4 linked regions of the Canis lupus familiaris genome follow. The protein of the gene in region 1 binds, or shares a complex with, the protein of each later gene. Links are inferred from orthologs where the notes say so. Each region holds a gene or a part of one and is shown on either strand. Other genes may lie near its edges. The genes, in order: PTEN, PARD3, MAST2 and SNTG1.

What was found.
Region 2: the proteins of PTEN (region 1) and PARD3 are in contact, whole or in part, in an NMR structure (PDB 2K20), measured with the Rattus norvegicus proteins. The link is inferred for Canis lupus familiaris from reciprocal best matches to the Homo sapiens genes PTEN and PARD3. Residues at the interface, in NP_113794.1 of Rattus norvegicus: Asp393, Glu394, Asp395, Ser398, Gln399, Ile400, Thr401, Lys402, Val403; in NP_112514.1 of Rattus norvegicus: Ala599, Gly600, Leu601, Gly602, Val603, Ser604, Val605, Lys606, Gly607, Asn608, Arg609, Ser610, Lys611, His614, Lys622, Ile625, Met659, Leu662, Arg663, Met666.
Region 3: the proteins of PTEN (region 1) and MAST2 are in contact, whole or in part, in an NMR structure (PDB 2KYL), measured with the Homo sapiens proteins. The link is inferred for Canis lupus familiaris from reciprocal best matches to the Homo sapiens genes PTEN and MAST2. Residues at the interface, in NP_000305.3 of Homo sapiens: Pro391, Phe392, Asp393, Glu394, Asp395, Gln396, His397, Thr398, Gln399, Ile400, Thr401, Lys402, Val403; in NP_055927.2 of Homo sapiens: Lys1112, Lys1113, Tyr1114, Gly1115, Phe1116, Thr1117, Leu1118, Arg1119, Ala1120, Ile1121, Arg1122, Val1123, Tyr1124, Met1136, Trp1138, Glu1141, His1170, Val1174, Ile1177, Leu1178, Leu1191.
Region 4: the proteins of PTEN (region 1) and SNTG1 are in contact, whole or in part, in a crystal structure (PDB 7PC7), measured with the Homo sapiens proteins. The link is inferred for Canis lupus familiaris from reciprocal best matches to the Homo sapiens genes PTEN and SNTG1. Residues at the interface, in NP_000305.3 of Homo sapiens: Asp395, Gln396, His397, Thr398, Gln399, Ile400, Thr401, Lys402, Val403; in NP_001274742.1 of Homo sapiens: Gly67, Phe68, Gly69, Leu70, Ser71, Ile72, Lys73, Gly74, Glu77, His78, Ser85, Lys86, Ile87, Ser88, His118, Val122, Leu125, Arg126.

The regions. Positions count from the first base shown.
Region 1 is NC_049247.1:38,114,879-38,122,259, reverse strand, and holds the start of PTEN (phosphatidylinositol 3,4,5-trisphosphate 3-phosphatase and dual-specificity protein phosphatase PTEN), read right to left. Parts: upstream 4,000-7,381; 5' UTR 3,892-3,999; coding exon 3,813-3,891; intron 1-3,812. UniProt on the Homo sapiens protein: Dual-specificity protein phosphatase, dephosphorylating tyrosine-, serine- and threonine-phosphorylated proteins.
Region 2 is NC_049223.1:3,009,599-3,017,028, reverse strand, and holds the end of PARD3 (partitioning defective 3 homolog), read right to left. Parts: intron 4,714-7,430; coding exon 4,314-4,713; 3' UTR 2,675-4,313; downstream 1-2,674. UniProt on the Homo sapiens protein: Adapter protein involved in asymmetrical cell division and cell polarization processes. Seems to play a central role in the formation of epithelial tight junctions. Targets the phosphatase PTEN to cell junctions.
Region 3 is NC_049236.1:14,460,359-14,467,280, forward strand, and holds part of MAST2 (microtubule-associated serine/threonine-protein kinase 2), read right to left. Parts: intron 5,786-6,922; coding exon 5,684-5,785; intron 4,645-5,683; coding exon 4,512-4,644; intron 3,724-4,511; coding exon 3,662-3,723; intron 3,393-3,661; coding exon 3,307-3,392; intron 2,857-3,306; coding exon 2,648-2,856; intron 1,636-2,647; coding exon 1,497-1,635; intron 1-1,496. UniProt on the Homo sapiens protein: Appears to link the dystrophin/utrophin network with microtubule filaments via the syntrophins. Phosphorylation of DMD or UTRN may modulate their affinities for associated proteins. Functions in a multi-protein complex in spermatid maturation.
Region 4 is NC_049250.1:3,048,347-3,055,268, forward strand, and holds part of SNTG1 (gamma-1-syntrophin), read left to right. Parts: intron 1-2,806; coding exon 2,807-2,959; intron 2,960-6,922. UniProt on the Homo sapiens protein: Adapter protein that binds to and probably organizes the subcellular localization of a variety of proteins. May link various receptors to the actin cytoskeleton and the dystrophin glycoprotein complex.

The sequences.
Region 1 (7,381 bases):
AAGTCACTGAAGTGATTAAGTGGCTTAAGATATATTAAAAAGTACTAAGCTATCACCACACAAATCAACAGCAAACGGGGCAACTCTCAAAATGAGAACATGTGAAAATAAGAATCAGAGATTTCACTTCTAAAAACCAAGGAAACCTCGAACATTAAGAAGTTTGAGTATTTTTTTTGAGTGGTTATTAGGAAAAAGCAGATACACCGTCCCACATAAAAACTAAAATATCAATAGCCGCCTTTCTCGTGTTAAAGTAAAATTCTAAAAGGTAAGGAACACCAATGCATCTTTTTCTATGCTCTCTAAAAATAAATGTAAAACTACGGTGGTTATACCTCACCATATTTTATGACGCTTATTCATCTATTATTCATTTAGTGTATCATAAGCAATGTAAAATCTGTACTGATGGTTGTACTCCTGTGCAAACTTTTACAATGGACAGCAATAAAATTCCTTTTTCCTTATACAAAGTCATATAAACTGTGAATTATTCTCCTTTTAGATGCGCTCTATTCTTGAACAATCTTTATGAAAATGAAGTTTGTAAACTGTTACACAGCGATCAGGATGCCCAGTCATGTTGCTCGGAAAAGAAATACAACTTAGCAGATACAAAACAGTGTAAAATAAAAACTGTGAATAGAATCTTAAAAAAACAAAACAACTACAACAAAAAAAAAAAGAAAAAAAAAACCACCTCACAATACGGGCACTTCAGTAATCACTGATCTTAAAAGATAATACAGTTAACTTCCATAGTCACTGTTACCCTCTACAAGTTAAAAATACTCCCTATGGTTAATATTTGAAAAGACGCAAACTTATCAAGATGTAAAAATACATACAAACAGAGCCTAAAGTTCCCATGAAATCTAAAGACACTAAAATTTTTTTTAGTCTCATGGTCACCACCATTTTCCAGACTAACAGATGTTAACAAATTATTTTTAGGACAACTCAATTTTGCAAATAATCGTCTTCAGTTTTCCTCTGAGAAATCACTACGTTCTTCATCTTTCTTATCAGATAGAAATGCTCCAATCACTACTCTCATAAGGGAACGTAACTTCTCACAGGCTAGCTGCTGAAGCAGACACTACAACCTGCCAAAGTCCTCAATGGCCACCTTAATTTCCCCCCACAATACACAGAGAACCCTAAAGCGAAACCAAGCAAACCAAAGTGCACTGGTGTAATCAAAATTATTGGAAGTCCAACTAACAAAAAAAAAAAAAAAAAAAAAAAAGAGCCCTTCACTGACTTTTTCCTAAATGATTTTTTTTTCATATATTTGGCTCAATAAAACCACAACTCTAGAAATCAAGTGTTACTAGTCATTTGACGCAGCGTCTGACACTGCTTTCTATGCACACCCTAACTAAAAGTACCCTTCTAGTAACAGTCTCTAGGTCACGTAAATTTCAGGTATGGAGGCACACACCTGTGAAGTCAAAGGCGAGCTGGCCAACCAGCTCAGGACTCCTGTGTAAGAACCCCGCAGAACGATCTGAATCTTAAAGCCCTGACTATTTTAGAGCAAATGGGTAACGTAAAAATAAACCTACTCTGAATGATAAAAGCAATCTACCAAACAGCATCCACAGACATTGGTTTTTGCACGGGGATTTTTTCCTAAAAAGTCAAAGAAACGTGTAATCAATTTGTTCCTATACACCCAGACGGCTGTCAGTTCACACTAACGCTAGATTGCTTTTGAAATAAATTACAAATCAGAAGTTGTCCAGCAACTGGTCACCTTCTAGGCAAGCGGGTCAAGTTCAGCCTGACCAGTGTTGCAATCAATGCAGACTCCAAAACTTCTAAATAGTCTTCTAATACATAATTTTTTAATCAACAGAAAACTTACGTTTTGTGTGCTAGAAAGCTCCTTCTTCGGTGACTTTTACCTTCAGCTCAAAACAGACACTTGGGCAGAATTAGCTGTGCACGTTTATGTGCTGCTATGTAATCCAAAGGGAATTATAAAAAAAAAAAAAAAAAAAAAAAAACCTCTTCAGATGTAAAGAATTTTCTTCAAAAACCAAATCCTCCCCACAGTGTTTAGCAGGACATATGGATCCTTCAGCGCCACTCCACCTTTAGGCAAAATGTTTACTGGTGTTCGCTAAAAATGATCTTTATTAAGAATCCTCCAATAACAACCGACGCAATCACGTTTGAACTAAATACCGTCCACTGTTATAATTCACATCACCAAACTTCTGGCCTTCACAGAGGCCTTGTTAATAAGATGCTGTGGGCATCTCAGACCCACAAGTCAATTCTGTTTTTCATGCCTTAGACACTGGCCTAAGCAGGAACGCTGAACGCCTGTGATACTTTCCATTCTGGGGGAAAAAAAAAAAAAAAAAAAGGAGGGCTCTCTGCCCCAACTCTTGATCAAAACCAGTTCATTATACCTGAAACTGCCAAGATCAATGCCTTTCAATAACCGCTATCTTTTCAGGTACAAAGGCCTAACTTTTAGGCAACCGAAACGATACTCCTGTTAAAAATTCTCGGGTTTCTGTGTCATTCAACAACCTGAGTCAGTAAATTCAAGACACTGTGTGGAAAACCAGCTAACATACCTAGACCATGCGAAGCTGGAGTGATCCGCTCTTGCCTGCGTTGCTGGTGATTAGCTGGTAAATTACACCTGACCTTACACCCGAGCCCGAGTACAATTAACGGACATCACGCGGCGTCAGGAGTCCTGAAAGCTGGATGAGGTGAGCAGCAGTTCTGGACTCGCAGTGGCACTTGCATTTCAAGGAAGAACTGAAGCTTCATGTCTGCAATCACGATTTGCTGCACACAATACCCCAGAACCCACACAACACGCTCCTCCGGCATCAAGAAGCAGTCAATCCCCATTCTGCTACGTGAGACAAGACCACTGAACCTAAAATGCGGCTGAGCTGCAAAATCCCATGCCCTGTCCTGGATCACCCCATCAAGGGAGGGGGGAGGGGGGGAGGGGGAGGGGGAGGCAAATTTCAGAAAGACCGAGCAGCAAGAGCGGCTCAGGACGTGCGTTACCTGTGACACTATTGATCGCGAACTACACAACTTGGGAGAGGCAGTTCCCGGTTGTAATTCAACTCGGCGTGAGCACACGCGAACCTACTTTCTGTGCCCTCCAACGAACGCCCCGAGTGCTGAGAGCGATTCTGCTTCCAAAGTTATGCAAATCAGCTCACAACTCCCATTACGAATTAAAAAAAAAAAAAAAGTCTATCAATGCGAGCAACCCAGGAAACTAAATCACTGCGAGATTCTGATGCAATCTGCATACGTGCAACGCTAATTTTCATCTTCATCTAATCTGTGCCGTCGATCTGGGGGCCTAAAGCCAAGGTTTGACCGAAACGTGCTCGACCCCGGAGCCCGGGCGCCGCGTCCCCTCCGCGCGTCGGGCAGCCCGGGTTCCCGGCTCCGGGGTCCGCCGAGGGGCACCGAGTCCCGCGGGCGCGGACAATGGCCCTCCGGAGGGGCCGGGCGCGCGCAGGGCCGGGACCCGCCGCCGCCCGACAGCCGCGGCCGGGCGGAGGGGCGGAGGGGCGGAGGGGCCGGGGGCGCCGGGGCCGGGGCGCCGGGGCCGGGGCCGGGAACGAGGTCGGAGGCCGGGCCGGAGCCCCGAGGCCGAGGTCGGAGGCCGGGCCGGGGAAGCCGAGGCCGGGGTCCGGGGTGCGGGTGCGGGTGCGGGTGCGGGTGCGGGCGCGGGGTCCCGAGTCCCGGGTGCGGGTGCGGGTGCGGGGTCCCGGTGCGGGTGCGGGGGCCCGCGGCCGCGCGGAAAGGGATACAGGTCAAGTCCAAGTCGAACCCATCCTCCTGGTAGCGCCTTTTGTTTCTGCTGACGATCTCCTTGATGATGGCTGTCATGTCTGGGAGCCGGTGGCTGGAGAGGAAGGAGGAGAGAGACGGCAGGAGCGGCGGGCGGCGCGGCCTCCTCCGCAGGCTGCAGGCGGCCCCGGGCCTGGCGGCGGGCGGCCCTCGCGCGGCCGGGGCGGGCGTCGGCGGCGGGGCCTGCGCGCGCTCAGGCGGGCTGGCGGCCGCGGGCCGGGGCGGCGCCGGGGGGCCGGGCGGCCGGGCGGCGGCGGGGGGCAGGCTCTCGGGCGGCCCGGGGCCCTGCGCGCGCCGCCGCCGCCGCCGCCGTGGTGCGGGCGGGAGCGGGGGGGGCAGCGGGGCGCCGGCGGCCGCGGCCCCCTCCCCGGAGCCGCCGCCGCCCGGCCGGGCCCGCGGCTTCCACGGTCCCCCGCGCGGGGCGCCGAGCGACGGGAGCACGGCTAGACGCGGGCGCGGGGGGCGCGGGCGGGGGCGCGGGCGGGCGCGGGCGCGGGCGGGCGCGGGGGCGCGCGGGCGGGCGCGAGGGCGGGGGCGCGGGCGGGCGCGGGCGCGGGCGCGGGCGGGGGGGCGGGCGCGGGCGCGAGCGCGAGGCCGAGGCCGAGGGCGGGCCGCCCGCCGCTGCCGCTGCCGCTGCCGCTGCCGCCGCCGCCGGCCGGCCGGCTCCCCGAGGGCGCTGCCCCCGCGGCTGCTCACGGGCGCTGAGAGGGGCTCTGGGCCGCGGCCGCCGCCGTCTCTCATCTCCCTCCCTGCGCGCGGCCTCGCCTCTCCGCGGCGCAACTCTCAAACTTCCATCATGGCTGCAGCTTCCGAGACGAGGCGCCGAGCAGCGCGCACGCCCGCCCCGCCGCGTATCCTGCCGCGGCGCACAAAGAGTCCCGCCACGCCGCCGCCGCCGCCGCCGCCGCCGCCGCCGCCGCCGCCGCGAGCCCGGCGCCCCGGAGCCCGGGGGGAGGCGGGGGCCGGGGGGAGGCGGGGGGAGGCGGGGGCCGGGGGGGGCCGGGGCCGGGCGGGGGGAGGGGCGGGGGGCGACCGCCGCGCATGCCCAGTGCGAGCGGCCCCCGGAGCTGCACTTGCCGCGGCCGCTCCTGCAGCGGCGGACGGACGGACGGGCGGGCGGGGGCGTCGGGGACCCGAGTCGGACGGAGGTCGCCGCGCACCGGGGGCGCAGGGGGCGAGGGCGGGGCCAGCGGACCCGGGGCGCCCCTCCCCCGCCCGCAGCTCCCTGTGTCCGCCCCGTGTGCCCCCGCGTGTCCGCTCCCCGCGTGTCCGAGCACGAGGAACACCCCCACTATGGCCCTCGCGTGGCCACTGCCCCCGTGCCTGCTCCCCGCGTGTCGGTGTGACCACGAGCACCCCCCGCGCGTGTTCCCCCGTCCCTCCCGCATTGGTGTGAGCACGAGGACACCCACATTGTGCCCCCCGCGTGTCCGTCCCCCGCGTGTCGGCGTGAGCACGAGGAACACCGCCATTGTGTCCCCGCGTGTCGGTGTCCCCCCGCGTGTCCCCCCGTGCCTGTCCCTCGCGTGTCCGCCCCCCGCGTGTCCGCCCCCCGCGTGTCGGCGTGAGCCCGAGGAACTCCCCCCATTGTGTCTCCGCGCGTGTCCCCGCCCCCGGCTCGCCCCGCCGCCCCACCCCCGCCGCCGCGGGCCCAGGACCCCGGGGACGCGACCACCGCGCCGCCCCGGCCTCGCCCCCGAGAGCGGGCGTCCGTCCCTCGGGGCGCCTGCTGCCCGGTCCGCGCGGGGCTCGGGGCTCGGGGCTCCGGGCTCCGGGCTCCGGGCTCCGAGGCCGCCTGGCCCCGCCCCCCGCGGGCCGCCGCGAAAACCCGGCCGGCTGGATGGCCGCGGGCCGGCGTGGGCGTCCGCGCGTCGGGCTGCGCCCCGGGCCCGAGCCAGGAGTCCGGGCCGGGAGGGAGCGCCGGCCCGGCGGGTGGGCGGGGCCGAGGGGCTTCAAGGGGCGGCGGAGGGCTCCGCGGGCCGCGGCCGGGACTACTTCCAGGGGCGGTCACGTGTGCCCTAGTTGGGGAACTTTCCAAATTCCCAGTCCCCGAGGAGGGTCGGGGGCGGCCGGCGAGCGGCGGCGGTGGGGCGGCGAGTGGCGGGCGGCGGGCGGGCGCGGCGCCGGGGGAGCTGGTTACACAAGCACCCGCGTCCACGCACGTGCCCCCCGCGGCCGGACAGCCGGGGCCGGTGGCCGCAGAGCCGGGGCCGGCCTCGCCCTGCGGCGGCTGCGCTGCGCTGCGCTGCGCTTCCCTGCGGCGGCTGCGCCGGGCCCGGGGACTGTCGGGTGCGCCCCGCTGCGGGCCCCGCTGCTCGGAGGGCTCGGCCCGGCCGTGCGCCGCCACCGACCTGCCGCCTGAGCCCCGGCCCCCTCCACGCCGGCCGAGGGGCGCCGCGCCCGTTGCCCTGCCCGGGGAGCACCACCAGGCGGGCCGGGGCCGCCCAGAGGAGCGGGGCTGCAGCGGGGCCGGAGCGGGGCCGGAGCGGCCTGCGGGTGAAGCGCAGGGAAGTGACGCGCCGCCCGGGGAGGTGCGCCAGGACGCGGAGGCCGCCCGGAGCGGCTGTCCCGGCGCGCGGTGCTCGCAGGCGGCCCTCGCTACGCCCGCGGCGCCCAGAGCGCCCCTCGGATGGCCCCGGCCCCGGCCCCGGCCCCGCCCTCGCGCTCGGCCTCCCTCCGGGGAGCGCCGCAGGAGGTCGCAACCTGCGGGACCCTCGCGGTCCGTGTCGGTCGGAGCCCGCGTGGGGCGGGGGGAGGCCACACGTAGAAGAGGGAAGCGGGCGGGGGTCCGGGGGAGTAGGGGAGGGCTCCGTCGGGTCTCCAGAACCGAAACCCGCGTGCGCGGCCTGCGGTGGGCCAGAGGCTACGCGGGACGCCCTGCCCTCCAGCTGTGCCGCCGGGTCGCAGGGTTCCGGAGCCGAGCTGCGCTGCCCCGAGCAGCGGATGCTGCTACCTGGTGGGGGATGGGAGACGAGGAGCAGGTTCAAGGAAGGGAGGTCGGCGGCGGAAGGCAGAACTTCGCACCTGTGTCTCCGGTTGCCGACCCCGCCCGGGGTCCCTGCCGTGAGCGCGCGCTCCCCTGCGCCTCCCCGGGAGCTGCCCTACCTGGGGAGGAGTCTGCGGTGCCCTGGAATCCACCTCCCCGGGAGGAAAGGGGCCCGGCGCTGCGCGTCGGAGGCGAGGAGAGGAGGCTTTCCCATTCCCGGGCACAGGGTTCTTCGGGGGGCGGGGAGGGCGCGCCCCCAGCACCGAAGCGCGGGCCTAGGAGGTCGGCCCACTGCGCTCCCGCTGGCAGGGGGGGGAAGACGGCCCAGGAGTTTCGCGGCTTCCCTGAGCATGAGCCGCCCTCCCCCCCAGCACTGAACCAAAGGACCCCTGGTGTCGACAGACAGTGGTCAGCCAGACGGTGATAGCGGGTAGTTATCGGGCAATGACTGAATTAACCCCGCCCCCCCCCCCCCCGCCCCAGTGTCACAGAGGTTCCTCAAGGAAATTTCAGTTTTCGATTTTTGTTTCCCTTCACATCGTC
Region 2 (7,430 bases), on another chromosome or scaffold:
GAAAGGAAAAAATAAAAAACTTGTCTTTACCAAAGGATGCTTGATCTCATAGGACTCAATAGCATCCTTTCAGAATGAAATTCTGTACTTGGAGTTTAACCTAAAGAAACAAAATGTATGTACAAAGGACAGCCATATATTTTGAATTTTGCTGCAAGAGATGTGAAAGCTGGAGGATGAGGAAGGGCAGGGAAGATGTGTGCTGGCTCCTGGTGAAGTTAGAAGAAAAGAACTCATCTAATGGGAACTAAGTCCCTTCAATGTGGAGTGCAATGGCACGCTCCCCTCCTCCCCAGGAGATCTAATGTAAAATACCAGTTTCTTGTTGAAAGAAAAGCAAGCAAGCAAGCTTATGCTCAAAGTTACACCCTCAGCCTCCACACATTAAAAAAAAAAGTCCATTTAATTCAACCAGCTCTGTGATCTCGTCATTACTCAGAGCTGAAGGGGGTTTCCCCATTAAAGCACCCCTGTCACTCTCACTTGTGACCTGTGAACATTCTTATTAGCTGCCTTATTAAGATGATATACTGTCTCTGAAGTAAGAAAAGGAGATTATCTCCTTACCTGACATGTCATCAATGGAATCATCTTTGTTAAAAGAAGGACGAAGAGGAGAAAGAACTGAGTTACAGAGACGTTGAAATTCCTGGCACGCTGTGCTATCCAAGGAAGAGCTCCATGATGGCATATACTGACAGGTACTTAGTTGAACCTTAGTGACTTATTCTTCCATGACTAGCAAACAAAACCAGAAACAAAGTACTCTCTGCTTCACCCTGGATTGATTTCAACTGTGGTAAGAACTGGGTGTCAAGGACTCATTAGATGAAATAAGAAACACATTAAACTAACCAGACTAGTATAGACAAATATAGAATTACACGTGCATTTTGCACATGCTCGGTATGCTTGTTCCACGTATACGCAAACACGTGTATTTTCTAGTAAAAACTATTGGAGGAAGGGGAGCAGTCTGGAAGATGGAGGCCATATTTGGGCAAATCTCGAGCAATGATGTGGACAGAGGAGCTTGTTCTCTTACCTCTGGCCTTGTTTTGAGACTCACGTGGGCACATGATCACAAAAGCACGCTGCTGGCAAAGTGGCCGGCTCTGTTTGCTTATTTGCTGCCCTTCCTCAATATGGGTTTGCAGCTAAATCAACTGCCTCTACTCAAAGAAACAGAAAATTCACCAGTGCCTGATTTGATATAGTTGACTTCTTTGGCCGGGGTCCCACTTTTCCTTCCTATTAGGGGGACAGCCCCATCAACCATGGATGCTTTGACTTCTGAGCTGTGTTTGGTCTACCAGGAAGAAGACCTGGGTGGTGATGTTTAACATATGATACCTTATACAACATTACTTTATAATCTATATTTATAAATATTTGTAAGTCTTTTCTATAGTCTTAGCGGACTAAGGGTGGTGATAATGTCACTGTGGGGCCATCTTTTCTGAGGGACAGTAGACTCACTCCACTTCCATTCTCATGTGAATGTGGGCCTTAGTTGGTGCCACCTACCCCCTTGCACCAACTGCGACTCCTCCCAGTGGGTACACATGCTGACCACATTCAGCCTGGCCCCTGCTATGGACATGATCTTCCTGTGATCCCAGTGAGTCCTTGGTAAGTACTCTGGAGCCAGAGGGCAGACATTTAGACAAGACTGCCAGTCTGGCACATTCCCACTTCTGTGCTGACTCATATCTAGTGCTCCTACTCCTTTCAGTGTGGCTCAAACTGTCAGTTTTAATCTTCAAACCCCTTTGTGATTTGGGTCCCCAAACATTCTATATTACCTCTCCTGCTCTACTTCTCACCATCAGCTGAGACAAACAACCTGCGAGCATTTGCCATGGGCCTCCTGGTCAGTGAGAAAATTAACAAATCCGTCCATCTTCTCTTTTCTACTTTCTCATGCCATGCATGCATATAAGAACCCAGGACATGTTATTTTCTTGGTTTACTATATATACATCTCTCGCTACTAAAACCAAGGTGACAGAATTGGATTTAGTGACGGGCTAAAGGCTGCTATGACAACCAGCGTATGCAGCACTCCACATCGAAGGCATTTTCAATAGGCCTGTGCAAAGCTTACCCTTTGGGTGGGGATATTCGTGCATGAGACATACCTGGGGATTTGATGCCCTTTATGCCTTCAAAGCACCAAATACATATTAATGAATCTAAAAGAACAGCAGGGTTTTATTTTGTAATTTGGGAAATAAGGACTGATTGGTATTAGAAGTGGAAAAGAATCTGGACCTTACTTTGGGCTTGCAGTATGCAAGGCTGGAACTCCCTCAAAACATTGGCTCACTGAAGTGACCCAGAGGGAGCAAAGGACAATAATAGGAATATGATGTGGCTTTCTGTATCATTTTTCTTTTATTTAGCTCTCGAGTATTGGCTCCTTCAATTCTGAATTCTCTGGGCTTCTTTCAGCAGCCTGGGTCTTCAGGGTCTTTCTTTCCTATCCTGTCTCTCCTCAGGTGTTCAGGTAAGCACTCAATCACCCACTTCCATGTCTGCACACAGACAGATAGAAGGAAACTTTCTTTCGACTTCTTCTAAATATGAAAAAAAAAAATCACATCTGCTAACATACTTAAAAAAAGACACCCAGCTAGGAGTTTCCACAGGAACACAGTACAGACACAAGAAAGAACAGGAAGAAATATGCCTTTTATTAGAAGTCTCATATGTACAGGGAAGGCTCTTTCTCACAGCTCACGGAAGGCCGTGAGAAAGAGCCACTGTCGTCCAAATTGGTAACACCATTTAATATCGCCACACATTATGAACACGGAGAACCTTTACACAGAGATGCAAAAGAGACATAGGTACGTGTGGACACTTCATGTATTTTCTAAAAACAAGTGGGACACAAAAATACAATGTGCCAGTAAAAAAAAAAAAAAAATAGGCATATCAGTACATGTCTTTTTTTGTTTGTTTGTTTTCTTTTTTCTTTTTTTTTTCTTTTTTTTTTTTTGTTAATACATGGTATGCTGAGCTTTCATCTCAAGCTTTTTTTCACATCAGGATTTGCAGGCACTTTAGCAACCCAGCCATGGTTTACAATACACGGCGTTCAGACTGACAGCTGAAAACATGGGAGGAATCGAGGTCCTTGTGACCCACACATACCTCACATTATTGACATGAGAGCAATCTTTTGGGACCACTGTCGGGGGCACCAGAATGTTCCCTGTGCGATCTAACAGCTTTTCCCTTGTCTTCTTTGTCTCACGGCAGAATTATTTAGTAGCATGATGGCATCACCAGGCACAGAGACAGCATGTGGATGCACTAGACTAATGTCATTTCCAACTGACTTTAAAAACCGCAGAGAGCAGAGGAGTTTTGAGAATCCCAAAACGACTGTCTGATTTATCTTTGTCCCACTCTATGCCCTTCCTGCCAACCTGTCAAATGAAAGCTAATTAAAATAATTACTGGGATGTTGTGGGCCAGAAGCTCATCCTGGGAGAATTCTTCCTTAGCTACCACCTCCCACATCACGATAGACACGGGGCCGGTGGGCAGGCTCCCTCCTTCCCCAACCAGGAGGCGCTCCCTCGCCCACATGCCCCACACACAGCTGCGCTGACTCAACACACATGTCAGGAACACGACTGAACAAGTGTATTTATAAACGCAGACCAGACTGATCACTTTATTGGTAATGTCAAGTTATAAGGCAGTTGCAAACGGACCTCCATGATAACCAGACAGTGTCGGATATGGCTCGGCTTCTTCAACAGAATAAAGGAACCTTCCTGTGGCAAGGAGCTGAGAGAGAAGGGAGAGAACCTTACTGATGACAAAGTACTATAAATGACTGTGCTGTGAAGCACCAGAGAGCCCCAATTTCTGGTGTGTGTCACCCCCTGGGATCCACCAGACACTGGGATGTAACCTCACCTCAAACTGAAAGGGGAAGAAGAGGGGAAGATACCATCCTCCACTTGGCCACAGGTTGGCGGGGCCGTAACGCGAAGCCGGGGCGCCGCAGGGCGGGGGGGCCACCTTCCCGGCACTCCAGAGGACGCAGAGCGCACAAGGCCTTGAACAGGTGATTGTCGGATGGCGGGAAATCCTTCCATGAAATAGACACTCGAGACGGAGCGGCAAAGACATTAAGGCCTTCCATTTCTTTGCCCGTACTGCTTAAAGGCACTGATACCGACAACAGAAATACTCCATAGTACCATCAAGGTTTTAAAAAAACTCCCAAAATACAAGTCTTCATACGAAAATGTCCTTTATTGCATGACATGAAGCCTCCGCTCTTCTCCTGCTCAGGAATAGAAGGGTTTCCCTTTCTCAGGAGTCTGGATCCTGTTCAGCCTAGCGACCTGAGAAGGGGAGGGGGGCACGTCCTGCCGGAATGGCCCCTTGGGCGGGGTGTAAGTGGGGTCCTGGCCTTTCTTGTATGAGTCATAGTTGTGCAGTCCCTCTGGAAGGAGAGGAGGCTGCTTCTTCATCTGCTGTTCCTTCCGCCTCTGCTCCTGGCGCAGGAGCTCCTGCGTCTCCAGCATCACCCTGGCATTGAAGCCGTGCCCGCCCAGGTAGCCGTTCCGGGATCCTTGGTAGCTGGAGTACCTGGGGTTCTCCTTGGCACTCTGGAAGCCTTCGCCGGGGGGGTAGTTCTGCTCCCAGGAATCCTGGGACACAGAGCTGGCATTTTTCCTGCTTTGCCTAGAAGGCAAACCCCAAAGGTTAGTATATGAGGATTGGGAGAAGGAGAGAGAGACAAAGGAAGAAATGAGGGAGCAGGGTGGGGGTGGCCAAGGGGAAGTGCATTTGGATTTCTCTAGTCCCGGTGTTATGCGTCCTGCGTTGGCCACAGAAACGGGGCTGGAAGAAGGAGACAGGACTGTGAGCAGCAAACAATGGCAGAAGGAGGAGAGAGAACTGAGGGATTCCAGGCTGCCCAAAAAGGGAGTCCTCAGGCTGTGTGTGGGTAGACACAGCCTACCAGAACCTTCGGGTGACAGTACCTCCTGCGATTTCGATGCATTGGCAAGATGCTGTCCAGGGTATTAGCAAGCTGCAGCTCCAACCCCAGCCCTAACTGCTCGTTTTGGAACCTTACAATGCAATCCTAAACAAGCACAGCAAATATTTTACACAGCTGCCACCATAATGCCTAAGACAGTAGCTAATCTGAAGTGTACATAATGGATTACAGGGTGAGCTCAGCTATGAAGGATCTAAGTCTGGACTCCCATATGATTAAAAATGCAACAGGCAATCCCTTCAAGCCCTGGCTGCCGAGACATATATGTCAGGAACCGACACTCTTCAGAATACATGCCCATCAGGACCGTAGAGCCTGAAAGGCAGCAGAGCCGGCACTATCTTCCTACACACCACAGTCTTGCGGAGGGCTGGGGCGACCTACTTAACCTACTTTCTGTCACCCCAGGATAGGGAAATAAATCAGAGCCATATAGAAATTTCAAAGTCTTATCATTTCTGCAATAAAGTTGCACATCATTTTCAGGAAACATTATTGTTCTGAAACATCTTTAATTTACTATCCAGTCCCTAGATGCTTTTATGAATTTACAATAAGATTGGCTATGATAAAGTAAAACAATTTTGTGCCAGAAAGGAAGACATGTCCTAATATTTTGCCTTAAAAATGAAAGAGAGGAAGGGAGAATTGAGTAATAAAACAAAATATATTGCTCCATTTATCAATAAGAAAATCATTTGGCGGCACTATGTACTGCTCAGCCTCTTACATCCACACACACACGACATGACGGAATGTTCAGGAAGACTCCTGTGAAGGGAAAAGAAGGTCTATGCAGCCACAGAGCTTCCACGGGGGTGGAGCAATTTGCATATTTGAACATTCAGAAGTGCCGTCAATATGGTTTGGATGAAATCTGCCTATTTTCCACACGGCCTAAAATGCAGCCAGGGATATTTTCAATAAGGAAAATGAACTAACGTCCAGCATCATCTCCGGATATGACTGTGATTAATTGAGTGGTCCCCAGTATCTCTATCCAGTTCTCTTTTCATGGGAATCAGACCATTTGTACACTGAGCCCAGGCAAGAATCCTTGGATTTGATGGAATAGTTTATTTGCCTAAAGCACTGATTATCTTCACTTAAAAAGTCATAAATTAATCTGCCCAGGGACACGAATGATGGAGCATGCCAGCATGAAACCAGGGATTTGACATTAATCATGAAACTTTAATTAAAACAACGAACTTGTTAGTGATGTTCCAGCAACAAAAGTGGAATTCCTTCATGGGTTAGTTATCAATTTAAAGATAACCAGAAATAGGCCACAGAAGTGTCACCTCTTTTTCATCTTTAGCCTACTGAGATCCACTAACCCCTACTCTCCCAAGCCCCGACTCTATAAAGCCCGAGGCTCCACTCCATGGTACTCATGCACCATAAGCTGAATTCTGAATCATCTCAGGAAGACAGGGTCTTTTTTATTTAAACACATTGAGAAGTGACTAAAGTTCTGTTAGGGATAGAGATTAGGACGATGTGAGAGAAGGAATTTCTTATCGTTAAAATTTCCTTCAAATTAAGCAGGCCAGAGGGAAGAAAGTGGACTTGCCTGACACATGAAGACATGTGGGGAAAGTATACCCACATCGGTATGTGCACACATACACACATATACATGTGCACACATACACATGTACACGCATGCACACACGCTTCTTTGGTAAGGAAACCAGTGATATCAATAAGCTCCTGATGAAAGAGAGGCTGAGAAATGAGCAGATCATAGATAAACTTGAGAAAACAGCAGACAACGAGTGTTGTACACTAGGCTTAGGATCAGGTGGACAGAGATTCCAGTCCTGTCTGCCACTCACCAGCTGAGGAGCCCTGGGATGGTTATGCTGTTTGGGCCCAAACTGTCTCATCTGTGAAAGAGGCAAGACACCTAACCTCACAGGGGATGGGAAGAAATGAACGAAACAGGACATGTTAACTGCGTAGAAAAGCATGGCACACAGTGCATGGTTGACTAAGGGGTGTTGGGAGAGCAGTCTGGAGACAGAGCCACTTTGCCCTCAAAGCTGAGCCTCTGGGTTTTGGGGGCATCTTTGTGACCAAGGGGGAAAAATAAGCAAAAATATTTGCTTTCTGTCCTTTGTCAAAAGGATTGGGCCGAGATCAAGATGCAGGGAAGGGCATGAAAGAATAACTGAGGAAGCATCACTAAGTGAAGGCAGGCCCACTTCCTCAGAGATCAGAAATAATCTTTTGACTGTCCCGGGACTGCTGAGTCGAAACCCACAAATAATAATAGTGGCAACAAAATGTCAGTTTCCTTTCACTGAATTCCTTTATAACCAACACACAGGTTTGTTTGGTCCTGGAATGAGCCCACCAAAGTTTGCTGAATCCACTCAAAGAAATACCC
Region 3 (6,922 bases), on another chromosome or scaffold:
TATGAGCTCTGTGCCCACTAACGGCCCAGATGTCTTACAAGCACCGTGAACTCAACCCTTCCAAACAGAGTCATACCTAACTGGTCCTCTCCACAGAAAATGACCTTTATCTCTGAGCTCTGTGAAAAGTACTTTATTGATTATTTATAAAGATATTCTGGCTCCTGAAACGTCTTAAAACAGAGTAACTAACACAACAAAATAGGAACTATTATCCCATTTTAAAGGCAAGGAACAGGAGGCTCTCAGGTTTGATTAATGGATCCAAGCTCAAGGAATTAACAAGTGGTCATCTGAACTCCGGTCTGTCTAGTGTCAAAGCCATTTTCCACAACAGAGGCTTATCCCCATGCACTAGTCCTGACGGGGAATCTGGAAGATATCCCCCACTCCTGCTCCCTTCTCTCCTACCTCACCCCTACCTGTTGGTTTCCTTTCTACTTCCTAACAATATCCCCTCTCTTTCGCATCCTGCAGGCACGGTTGGTTTGGGCTTGGTCTACTGCAACAGCCTCACCATTTTCCTGCTGGCAGAGTGCTGTTTCTAAACTTAAACCACAATCTGAGTGTGCCATTCTATCACATACCTTTGGCTAACAGGCCCTCTGAAGACTTGCTAGGACCCTTTAAAATAAAACCCACTTTAAAAAATAAATAAATAAAAATAAAACTTACTTTACAAAATGACTCTTGATAACCCAATCCCTGCCTCTCTCTCTAGCCTTACCTCTTACTACTCTGACCAATTAACAATCTCAGTCTCCGCATACTGTACTGTAGTTCCTGGATCACATTCTCGGATACTTGTGCACCTTTTGCAAATCCTGCTTCCTGGCTTTAGAAAGCTCCTCTCATCTTTTCCCATCTGACCAATGCCCTCTGAGAAGTAGCCTATATGCAGATATTTCTGTTTCCCATACTAAAGTTCTATAGGTCAGGGATTATTTTACAACCCAGATTATACGGACGCCTGGGTGGTTCAGTGGTTGAGCATCTGCCTCTGGCTCAGGGTGTGATCCCAGGATCTGGGATCGAGTTCCACATCGGGTTCCCTGAGGGGAGCCTGCTTCTCCCTCTGCCTGTGTCTCCGCCTTCTCTCTGTGTCTCTCATGAATAAATAAATCTTTTTTTTTAAAAAGACAAACAACCCAGATTATAGCACTTGGCCCAGAGAGGTCAGTAAATGTCAGAACACTTGCTCGGCCATCTCCTAGATGCCGATTCTTCTGTTCCTCCTTTGTTCCCTTAGATGAGCTCCTTAGTGACTCTTACATGACTCTTACAGGTCTTATGATGCCACTGCCAGAATGGCTAGCAATGGTCTTTGCATTTGGGATGGTCAGGGGCTCGAGTAGTAAGCCTAGATAGAGACCCACATGAGCACTGTTTTCTGGCAGCCATTCTGGGATAAATCCAAACATGCTATGTCTGCCCCCATTTATCTATAGAGACCCAAGAGGGAAACCTTGGACAAGGGACCCAGAGAGGGGGCGTACTTGTCAGGCTTGAGGTCACGGTGCACGATGCCGTAGTTGTGTAAGTATTCCAGGGCTAACACGGTTTCCGCAAAGTACAGACGCACCATGTCCACGGGCAGGGCCCCAATGTTCTTCAATAGAGTGGCACAGTCTCCTCCTGTAACAAGCCCAGAACAGTATGAAGGAAGGATCGAGTTCCCTACTCAGGATTGTCTCAGGCTTATAGTCTCCGAGGCCCTAGAAGAGAGAGCCTCATGGAACACCCCAGTGCTAGAGACTGGGAATCTAGCTCTTATGCTGCTGGTCTGGGTGCAGACAGAGTGTGGAGAGGAGTCGGCAGGAGGTGAATCTGCCAATGGCTGTCAAGGCCACTGTTCAGGCCAGAGGGTAGGAATCTGTCCTCCAGGGGACTTGCAAGGGTAGAGCAAAGTTATTTTAGGGTGGAAGTCCTGTATACAATGAACACATCTGACTGAGACTTCAGCATTTTGTCCACTTATGTCCTTCCTGTTGACTAGCCTTTGGTTTTTGAACAAGGTAACCTTGTGAACTCCCAGCACGTACTCTCTGAATTAAAAGGAGAGTGTTGTTCAGTTTCAACTTCAAGACTTAAGCAAAGTGTCTTTGGAAGCTGTACGCAGCTGCCATCTCTCCCCAGATGCCCCACTATGCTCTTCTACTCCATCCCCAGAGCTTCTGTGTGGCCTTAAGGGGCGTCCCCTTCACAAGCCATCGGTCAGGGAAATGGCATTTCTTTTTTCTGAGGGTCCATTTGCAGTCCTCCCAGCATGCAACCCTGGGCTTGTGTGGCCTGCTATCTCCTTTGTTCCTGCCTGGCCCCAGCAGTAGAGACCATCCAGGCTTTGGGATGCAGGATTCTACAGCTGTTGGGCTGATACATCTTGTCCCAGAAAGCCTGTCTTTGCACCTGACATGGGCAGCCTCATGGCAGCTACTATTCCAGAAGCCTCTCCCTGTGAGGGGCAGGGAGCCTTGTGCCCACTGTGGTCAAATGGTCTCTGAGATCCTAAGGCAGAAACCAATGCCAAAGAGAGATTGGGAAGCTGGGCCCTGAAACTTTACTCCTATACAAAGCTGTTGGTCACAGCTTAGGGCTAAGCCTCACATTGTGCCTTGGTCTCCCTGCCAGGCCACCTTTCCCACAGTACCTTCAACATACTCCATCACCATGCACAGGTGGCGCTTGGTCTCAAAGGAGCAGAACATGCTGACCACAAAGGGGTTCTCAGCAAAGGTCAATATGTCACGCTCCACAAAGGCCTGCTGGATCTGGTTCCGAAGGATCAAGTTCTGCTTGTTGACCTTCTTCATGGCAAAGCGCTGCCGGGTGGACTTATGCCGCACCAGGAATACAGCCCTGGGAAACACAGTCCATCCCATCTCCCATGGACCCTCAGCAACTGGGCTGTGCTCCCCACCACCCAGAGCTGGGGTGTCTAATCACACCCTATAAATGCGCAGACCAAAGGAACAGGCGTGTGCTTATCGATGAGAAGGATCTGGGCCCCTGCCCACAGAGCTCTTCAATTTCCCAACACACTAATCCTGAGGACACAGTTCAGTTCTCCCCCAGAGCTCAGGAAGAGGAGGAGTGCTACCAAGAGGAGTGGGGGCCTTGTCAAGAAAGGAACAATGCTCAGATGTCAGAGGACTGAACTCCTGTCTCTCTCCAGGAGGCTCTGAGGTCGGAGAGGGTCTATCCTGAGCATGTGCTGCCCAGAGGATCAGGTATCCTACACTTCTAGAAGGAAGAGCCCAAGGGCTGACCTAGCTCCAATCCTGGCCACACCCCAAGCCCTGCCTTTACCCATAGGCGCCATTGCTGATGAGTTTAATAGTTTCGAAGTCCTCCTCAGAGGGCGTCCTTTTAGATGTCACAGATGCCCCACGGCCCTGGAAGACAAGAGCAAAGGCAAGAGGCAAGCGTGCTTCTTAGAGCCCACGTGCTGGGGAAGCCAGAGCCCCAGCATCGGGTCAGCGCCTAGTCCTGCTGCAGCCCCCACCCATTCTTCCCAATGCAGGAGCTGAATGGCTTCTGAGATAGTAGGTGCTACCATCCATACCTCCCCTCCACCTTCACACATCCTCTCAAATAGGACTCGTGGTCCTTTGGTTCATAGGGCCCAGCCTCCAGGATTGGGGCAGAAGCTCAAGGTCTTTACCTCAACCGAATCATCTGTCTCTGGAGTGTCAGGACTGTCATAGCTGCTCAACTGGGCCATTTCTAGAAATAAAGCAAGGGCAGAAGAGAAAGGTGTGTGCAGCAATGTCAGGCATCTCAGCAGTCCACTCACATCACATGACAGGTGCATGCAAGGCAGGCATTAATATTTCCCGCATCAGTCTGGGGTGCAGGTACAGTCCTGTGGCTCTATCCTCAGAGGAGTCACAGCTTTTGGACTTGTTTCCCAAATTACATTGCCACTCCTATCTCTAGAAGTCCAGTGCCATTCACAAGGTCTGGCAAATTCTAAAAAGCTTCCCTCAAATTTAGGACAATTCCTGGAAAACAGGGCCCAAGGTTGGGCTACTGGTCCCCATCCTGCTTCACCGTTGAGGTTGGGAAGCAGGGAAGCAGGAGCAGGATGACTAGAGACCAGTGACTTAGAAGCCCACGCTCCACAGGGGCATAGTGTGAATGGAGATATCTGCTGAAGCCCTGGGTCAGGACCACACCAGAGTCACAGGAAGGCTGGTAAGGGGGCCCAAAAGGAGGTAAAAAGGCAGAGGAGGTGATCATTTTTGAAAATGTAATTGTAGTCCTTTGCTGTTGACCTCTTCTGACATTAGGCTCCAGCTGGGCCCATGGCAGTTCAGGTTGGGTCACACCAGGCGGATGTGAACGAATGTGAAGGAGGGGCTACACTGTGACAGAGAACACTGGGTTCTTTAGATGGCCCTGAGGCCTCTGATCGTGTCCATGTCCAGTCTAAGCCTCTTCTTCTAGTGGCCTTCCCGTGGTTAGAGCTTGTTGGCTACGGTGTGTCTGTAGCCACCAGGGAGCATGCTCACCCTCCAGTGGATCCCGTGTGAGGCCCAGCTGACTAACGATGTAGCGGGGAATGTCACATTTAATCCCTTGTCCCTCTTTGGCATGGCCCTCGGCTGCTTCCAACAGGTGGTAGAACTCTTCCGGGTCAAACTCCTGTGCCAGGAAAGGGAGACAGTGAGTGGTGAGGGCTACAAGTGAACGCCTCTTTGATTTTCACAGCACATACCCAGGAGGATGAACAAGACTTTTTCTTTATGATGGGACACTTGCCACCGAGCACCCAGAAACATCATGAATCGGGGATCTTAAGAATAGGGACAAAGTTGTCTTCCAGGTCAGCTCCAGATCAGACCTCCTAAGCATAGGCTGTCTTCCTGACAATAAGAACCAGACTTTTTGGTTTCAAGATGGCTCAACCTATTCATCTGATCCAGAGTCTCCTGCGAACCAGATGGTATTGTCACACATAAGCGCACACGTACACGCATTCCTGCCTTCAGATGTTTACGAAGCACCCCCCATGTGCTAGGGGCTGGAGAGCCATGTGGACAGCACAGCACTCTTTATCTATCCGGAGCACAGAAACATGAGGGTTCCAGTCACTGGGCACCTACTAAGTGCCACAGCCTGGGCTAACCCCTGCTAACACTTCTATGACCTCAGTGAGGAAATCAAGGCCCACAGAGAGGCACTGACTTGTTCTCTTGCACCCTGGACTCACCTCAGTGGCAACACTGTTTGCAGGACCATAATTATTATTTCTAGGTCTCCATGCCTCCTATACGAGGCACTACAAGACTAACTCCACTGCAGAGGGAGCACCTTAGGATCAGACACTCTGCTTTGTTCATGTCTGTGTCCCCCCCAGTGACTGGTATGAAGTAGGTGCTCAATAAGGTGCTCCCTCATGACAAAGTGAAGCACTCGACTTGTGCTGACCGACCTGGCCTGTGCTCCTGACCACCCAGACCTCCACTCTCCTGGGCCCTGCTCGGTGTGAGAGGGCCAGGCTGCTACCCCTCAGGACCAGCCATTTTCCTCACAGGAGCTTGTCTGGGCCCCCATGCTGGCATATCATAGTCAGGTAAGGACTTCAGCAGCAGAAATGACAGTGGTGCTACCAGTTTTGCTGTTAGCAGGAGACTTCCCCTATGTGCCCACCCCCTCCCGACCCTCCTAGGAGCCCACTCACCAAGCATTCCAGGAGTCGAGCTGGGCGGGCGATGACAATCATCAGCTTCTTCACCAGCTGCATCACAAAAGCTACTTCTGAACTCTCTGAGCGCTCATGAGCCTGTAGAGAAGACAAAGGTTGGTTAAGTAATCCCCTGGCACAGTGTGGTTGGGCTAATGCAGGACTGGGCTGGGCAGAGCTGGCTCTAGGGAGAAACAATTGGGTGGTACAGAGACTTTTGAAAAGGAGAAGGCCAGTGCGCTGTGAGAGGGAGCTTTAGGACTCTATGATACTAGGGAATGTCACAGACACATGTGGCTTTACCTGTTTCTCCAACTAGACCCCAGTTCAAGAGGCAACTCTCAATGGAGCGTTCACTGTTCACTTCCCACCCCAGGCAGAATGTCAGGAATAGAAAGACTTCAAAGCAGGAGTGAGGCGACCAGATAGGTATTTTAGAAAGATCACTCTGGCTGTAGTGTGGACAGTGCACTAAAGAGCATAAGCCTAAAGCAGGAAAATCCATTAACAGGCTACTGCAGTTAATGTGCATGAAAAAGGCATAAATCAAGGCAGGAGGAATGGAGAGGAACAGCTTGGGGCTATTTACAATGTAGATAGAGCAGACCTGAGGGTTGGAAGCAGCAAGAGAAGGGTACTGCAACTACGATTTTAGGGAGATTTCGGTGAACCCACAAATGAAATAAATACAAGAATGTAAGTAGTTCAGGTAAGGTAGGTGGAGAGGACTTGCTTGGGGCTATTTACAATGTAGATAGAGCAGACCTGAGGGTTGGAAGCAGCAAGAGAAGGGTACTGCAACTACGATTTTAGGGAGATTTCGGTGAACCCACAAATGAAATAAATACAAGAATGTAAGTAGTTCAGGTAAGGTAGGTGGAGAGGACTTGCAGAGTTTGAGGTACCTATACTAGATACTTTCTTGGGTATTCACTCAGCCCGGGAGACTTTATCTTTTTTATGGAAACTGCTCTGACGTCTAGGAGCTACATTTGTATTGTGTGGCTGTCCCTTCCATCCCACCTCCAACAGCTCACCCGTGTGGATGACTCTCCTAGGACTTTAAAAATGGATGGAAAGACTGTTACTATCTGTGTGACCGAACCATACAATCTCCTGGCGGGTGAAAAGGGCCGGTCACGTCTACCAAAGGGATTGAGCTAAAGCAGCACAGAACAGAAAGGCATGAGAGGAGAACGACCACTTCCCGAGCTTTCCACAGCTTCTGGTTTCTGG
Region 4 (6,922 bases), on another chromosome or scaffold:
GGCTATAATCGCTTTAAACTAAATTTCTAGAAAAGGATTTCAACATGCTTCTTTTTCCATCTTCTGCCTCACTTGCTCTTCCTTCTCTAAAGCAGTGTATTCCACCTCTTTCTTGCCCTCTCACCCTCCAGGGTGTTATAGCACAGGTAGTCATGTGCATTTCTTAGCAGGAGGACCTGAGCCCATTCAGGCTTGCAGCTGATTGCTCTTGCAGGTGTCTCTAAGTCCTTGGTGATAAGACAGTCCCTTCCTAGAATAAAACTTTCTCTTTTAGGGCAGCCCTGGTGGCTCAGCGGTTTAGCACTGCCTTCAGCCCAGGGCCTGATCCTGAAGACACGGGATCAAGGCCCATGTCAGGCTCCCTGCATGGAGCCTGCTTCTCCCTCTGCCTGTGTCTCTGCCTCTCTCTGTCTCTCATGAATAAACAAAATCTTTAAAAAAAAAAAAAACTTTCTCTTTTACACTCTCAAGAATGATTTATTGCTCCTTATTCTTTTTCCTTAGAGTTTTAGCTATATAGAACTGTCATGAAGCTTTTAAAATTATTTTTACATATTTGTCTCCATCAGTACACCTTGAGGCCTGAGTATCCGGATGCCCATAACAGTTGTAGCTTGAGTCAGTGCATGAGGAGTGTCCTACAAATAGCAATAGCCAATGACCACAAGTGTTCATAGATGTCAAACTTATATTTTGCAGAGTTGAATAGAGAATTCTATCTTTGAGAGCTTCGGTGCTTGGGTAATATAATAGAAGATGCTAATTCAAGTTTTAAAAGAGAAAGGAGTTGGGGATCCCTGGGTGGTGCAGCGGTTTAGCGCCTGCCTTTGGCCCAGGGCGTGATCCTGGAGACCCGGGATCGAATCCCACGTCGGGCTCCCGGTGCATGGAGCCTGCTTCTCCCTCTGCCTGTGTCTCTGCCTCTCTCTGTGTGTGACTATCATAAATAAAAAAAAAATAAAAGAAAATGGAGTTAAGCTGCCAAGAAAAACAAAATCTTAAATGATTATTTTAAGATTCCATAGCAACATGCAATTTATGAGAAGGAAAAATATCAACAGGTTTCTGGTTATTAAACCTGACATTGATTATTTTGTTACAATTTCATATTACAAGGAACATTAAGGCCAATTGAATAAACCATAAAATTGGTGGAGTTTCCAGAAATTCTTTAATGTTTAGTTACAAGTTTTGTGCCAATGTTATCAATTTAAATAAGTAATATGGAAGTTGAAATATTTACAACAGAGGATTTGCTGATTTTTTTTTATAAAGTGACTTGTCATTACACTTATGTTAGAGTCTAAGATTCATGACCTGTCTAGCCATCTTCTTTCCCAGTGTTGTCTCTCAGTCTCTCTCTCATCTGTTCTCTGGATCTCTGGAATGTACCTCACACTTTTGCTTCAGGCCTCTGCCAATACCAGCCCCTCTGTCAGCAAAAGTCTTCTTCCTGTCCATTCTATCTTTAATCTTTCCACTCATCTTTCAGCCACTGTTTAAAATTTACATCATAGAGGACATTTCTCTGACTTGCCAATACAATTTGGTGTAAAATGCTTTCTTACTCCCTATAATGGCACTTACAATGATCTGTCCCGACATATTCACTAGTGTAGTAATTTATTTAATATCTTTTTTTGCCACTTCTCTAGACATTATAAGCTTTAAATGATTAAAAAGTACTTTTCAATTGCTTATCATTGGACTATATTTTTGAAGATAGTATGTTTTCATTTTTTCCCTTAAGATGGTATAAGAAAATCATAAACACAGAGAATGTGACTTCCTTCAAGCTTCTGAATATCTCCTGACAGCAGTTATCAAAACTAAATCCTACTGCCATTCATCCATTCTCCTCTAGTATTTTAAGCATCCAAATGCCAAAAAAATGGATTTATTAATAAACTAGTTAATTGCTTTGAAAATACTTGCCAAAGCAGAGAATTCCTTCTAATATTTTGGGTATTTAATGATGCTACCTTTATGTAGCTCCATATAAGAAATGGTGGAAAACACTAGTAATTATACTTTGACTATTTTCAGTACACTCCTCATGTAATTCAAAGGCCATATCTGACATATTGCCTGGGATTACTCTATTCCATTAATTTTTAGCTGCACTTTCTGTTAACATCTCTGAGGTTGAAATACACATAGATGTGTGAACACTTGAAAACTTCTAGTAAGACCAAGAAATTGCCATGTGAAAGTCTTTTTGACTCAATAAAATAGAGTTACATAAATAAGGTAAATATGTATTTTTTAAAAGCAATAAATGTCTTTTAGACAACCTAAACTCATTTTTTTCATTCCTTGTCTAGATGAATATTTTCATGATACTTTCAGGGTTGAAGAAATCAACTCAATAAAAATACCATGCTTATTAACCTTTTTAAAATTTTCAAACATATTAATAAGTATTATTTAATTTCATCATCTTGACAGTTCTGTAAAGGAAAAGGGAAATTGTGTGTGTTGTTCCTTAATACAGTAAAGAACTGAATCTCTTGTGTTAAATGCATTGGTAGCTACATTGCTAGTAAGTATAGAAACCAGAAATCCTCACTTCTGTTTCATGAGCATGCTTCAGTGTTGATACAGAAAAGAAATACATTAGTTATGGACTTTGAGGCATGGAGTTTAGGCTGCTATGACCATTTTTAACGAAGATTTAGCAGTAACATAAAATCTTTATGACTATGGCGTCTCCACCATGCACTTAGTCAACATTGATTCAAGGTATGGCCATGTTAGCAATATGGATTGATGTATGCCAGCCTGTGTAACTCCAGGTTTTCATCAGGACAGTGACCTACTGGACCGGCGGAAACACTGCTTCACCGTGCAGTCCGAGTCTGGGGAGGATCTCTATTTCTCTGTGGAGTTAGACTCTGACCTCGCCCAGTGGGAAAGAGCCTTTCAAACAGCAACCTTTCTGGAAGTGGAACGGATACAGGTGAGAGTCTATGAAATTTTAGGATTTGTGACTCCTAAAAACACGTGATTGCTCCCTAGAGTTTAAATCTCTAATAGAAAATGGTGTGATTTTGATTAATTTACAAAGTCATTTCCTGTTGTCCAGTCATGACCACCTCACTTGTAACATGAATGGCTTCATTCTCTTGCAATGCTCTTTCTTTCTAGAAATAATTCCCTTCAACTCTACATTTCAAAACCATACATGAAATTTGAGAGTTTTTCCAGAGGTCAGATCATCACAAAGGTTTTCCTGATTTCCAAACTGTCATGCTCATTATTACCACTATTCCCACAACTATCCTGTTCAAACTCATCCCACTCGTGAGCATCATATCACTTTCTTTTGTCTGTTTTCTTAGGTCTACTTACACGGTCTTATTGGAGTGATATGTGCTTGTCATTCCCCACACTAAATTATAGGTTGCTAATTATAGGTTCATTTACCAGCTGAAATGCATTTTGTACTGCATATTTATTATGCTTTATTTCTTAAGTGTCAAGTTATATGTAGATCAAACTTCATAGAACCTTCAGCCTCTACAATTAATGGGACCACGGAATAGATGAGGCTCCCAAACATTGGTTCTATGGCTGACATCTGACAGATATTGATGGCAAAACTGAGCAGTTGTAATGGACTTGCCACATGCAAATGGATTCACAAAGCCAAGACCTAAATAGACATATGGGCACTTAATTCAAAAACAAACATATGATGATGATAATATAGCATTGACTCCTCTGGAATGCTTGGCTGTAATAGGAGATTTGATGTACATATTTTCAATATGCTGAACTGATTTGTAACATATATTAATTCCCTTTATTTCTGACTATAGCTTTCTATATTGAACATATCAGTTTATACCAGTATGACATGGTATTTCCCCTGATTTTCAGGGGAAAAAAAATAGGAGAATTTCACTTGTTTCATTGCTCAGTTGACACTTTCTAATAGCTCTGCTGATCTGCATATATCTTAAAATGTTAATGTAACTGAGGAATATTGTTTCAATAACTTAGCTCTAAAGAACCTCAATTCAATAGTTTAATATCAAAAATGGGAACATGAAAAATATCTTCAATATTATTTTATTCTAAGTGCCAACATCTAAGACCACTTTAAGTACTAAAATATGTTAGTTGAATAGTTGAAATTTTTGTTATTTATACCAATATTTTTGTTTTCCTAATTATCATTTCTTTAGAATATCACACTTTACTTATAAACAATTACATGGAAATATCTATCTGTTGGTCTCAATTTAAGATTTCATTTGAAGTCTCCTGAGGTTTAGAAATAAGACAATATTATATTGTTGTGATGTATGTTAACATTGTGTGTGTATGGTTTTTGTTTTGTTTTGTTTTTTTGAGTCTGTGCTTCATATTCTCAAAGCTGATGTCCTGAGCAATGCATTTCTTTGGGCTATCTCACAATACTTATTTAAGATGCATATAGCAACTGAAAAGTAAAATACTTAATGCTTTGTTAGCTTTTGATTGTTTTATAAGTCTTATGGTTTCCCTTCGTTTACTGCATTAGAGATCAATATGCAGTGACTGAACACCTTGGTGGTATTATTTTCAAAATTCAAGGATGTTAATATATTTACATGAAGATGTTTATGTATTTTTCTTCTATGTCCTCAGTATTCCCACTAGCATTAAAGTTGTTAAGAAATAAATTAGAGGGGACATATATTATGAAATAAGCAGAAAGAAAATTAATGAATTACTAATACAAATTAATGAATTAAATAATTTCTTTTGATTTTGAAATTGGTTTTCATTAATGGGATTGCACCCTAACATTTTCTAGCTTCTAATCTATTTCTTTATTTTTTAATAAAGATTTTATTTATTTATTCATGAGAGACACAGAAAGAAGGCAGAGACACAGGCAGAGGGAGAAGCAGGCTCCATGCAGGGAGCCTGATGTGGGACTTGATCCCAGGACTCCAGGATCACACCCTGAGCCAAAAGCAGATGCTCAACTGCTGAGCCACCTAGGTGTCCCTCTAATCTATTTATTTATCTATTTATATATTTTTGGATCTCTAATGTACTTAATATTGATATAATATCTACATATTTAAAAGGTAATCCATTAAAAGCAGGTATTTGCAAAGATTCTACATTGTTATTTAAATTAAAACCTTAAAATTTGGAGAATGTAGTGAATATTAAAACAGGAAATGACAATTTGTATGAATAAAATCTTACAACATATACTTAGCATTCCAAGTACCAGTATTGGGCCTAATTCATTTATAATATTTTTAGCACCTTTATTTTTCCTTTTTCCGAAAGATTTTCCCAGAGTAAGTAAATAACACTGGTAAAGGGCAGACAACTTATTTATTTATTTTTACCTTACAATAATTCAATTTGAATTAATATAGCTCTTTTAAAATAGGACTTCTAATGAAAAAGCACATCATTTACAAAATTGATTTTCTTTAATTATTAATATTGGTGGAAATTCATATGTATTTAATTCAAGTGTAAGCATTTAGCTATAATTCAAAAGGATATATTAAAATGTATAGAGATGCCTGGGTGGCTCCTTAGTAAAGAATCTGCCTTTGGCTCAGGTCATGATCCCAGGGTCCTGGGATTAGGTCCCACATCAGACTCCCTGCTCTGCAGAGGCCCTGCTTCTCCTCTCTGTCTTTCATGAATAAATAATAAAATAGTTAAAAATAAATAAATAAATAAAGTAAAATGTATTTTATGTGTGATGTATCTTCAAATGTTATTTCATAATATAAAATTCTACACAAATCTTCCAAATGTTTCGAGTTATCCCTAAAAAGTATAATTTCTTGCTTTTTCTAACTATAATCCAATTTTTATTATAAAATAAACATAGAAATTAAACAAATCTAATATAGTGTTAAAACATTAAGTATAATAAATATTGAGTATAGTCATCATATATGTTTCTTAAAAGATGATAAATCATAGAAATAAACTCAGTCTCCATTTATATCATATCTGTTTCAATTTAATGATTATTGATGAATTAGTTTCATTTGTAATTCTGAACTTAATGAGATAAATTTTAATGTTCTGGACTGAAGGTGTTTTCATCTGATATATTCTTTTAAATTATAGTAATTGAGAAAAGCAAACAAATATGTCTAAATTAGAAGGAATAAGCCTTGAACATTTCTTACTATCGACTGTAGTTTTAATAAAATAGTGATGGGTAGATACAAGCACAGGAGATAGCCTGCATTAAATCAATAAAATTACACCCAAACTGAACTTAAAAGGCTCATTAAGTAAGTTTTTTGAAAAACTTGACTCCAAAGGAATAATTTAGCATGGTTATAACTTTTCTATGCAAAATGGGCTGACAGCCATAGCTTTTGGTGAAGGCACCTTGATGCATTTAGCCATCATTATAGTCAGAATGTCATTCATTTAATGTACTTTTATATACAGTGTTATAAAACAAATATGATATAAGGATTAGTGTTGAAAATTTGCTTGAAATCAGTTTATCTCTTTCTCTTCCTCCCTCTCTCCCTCCTTATTTTGAATTATAAGGTTTTTTTTTTTTTCATTTAAATATCCCATTACAGTTTTCAATTAAATGGAAATAAAATTGGCCTGTGGACATATAAATGCATTATGTGGCATATAAGTCCTGAGTTTTTATTTCATATTTGTTATTGTTAAATTTCAGTATCTTTATTTTAGTAGTCTTTCCAAAATATTCATATAAGTAAAATTATAATTTAAATTGATCTCAGTGTGAAAAGCCATTGTTGATTTTTGAAGAATCAGTAGGTTTATACAAATAACAAGCAACTGGTTAGTGTCTTTGGGAAACAGCTTGTGCCACATGGATGAAAATTATATGAGAGATTCTTAAGGTAAAGATATTCTTATATGTTTTAGCTTGGTTACTGAATCTGTGTTTGTGTGC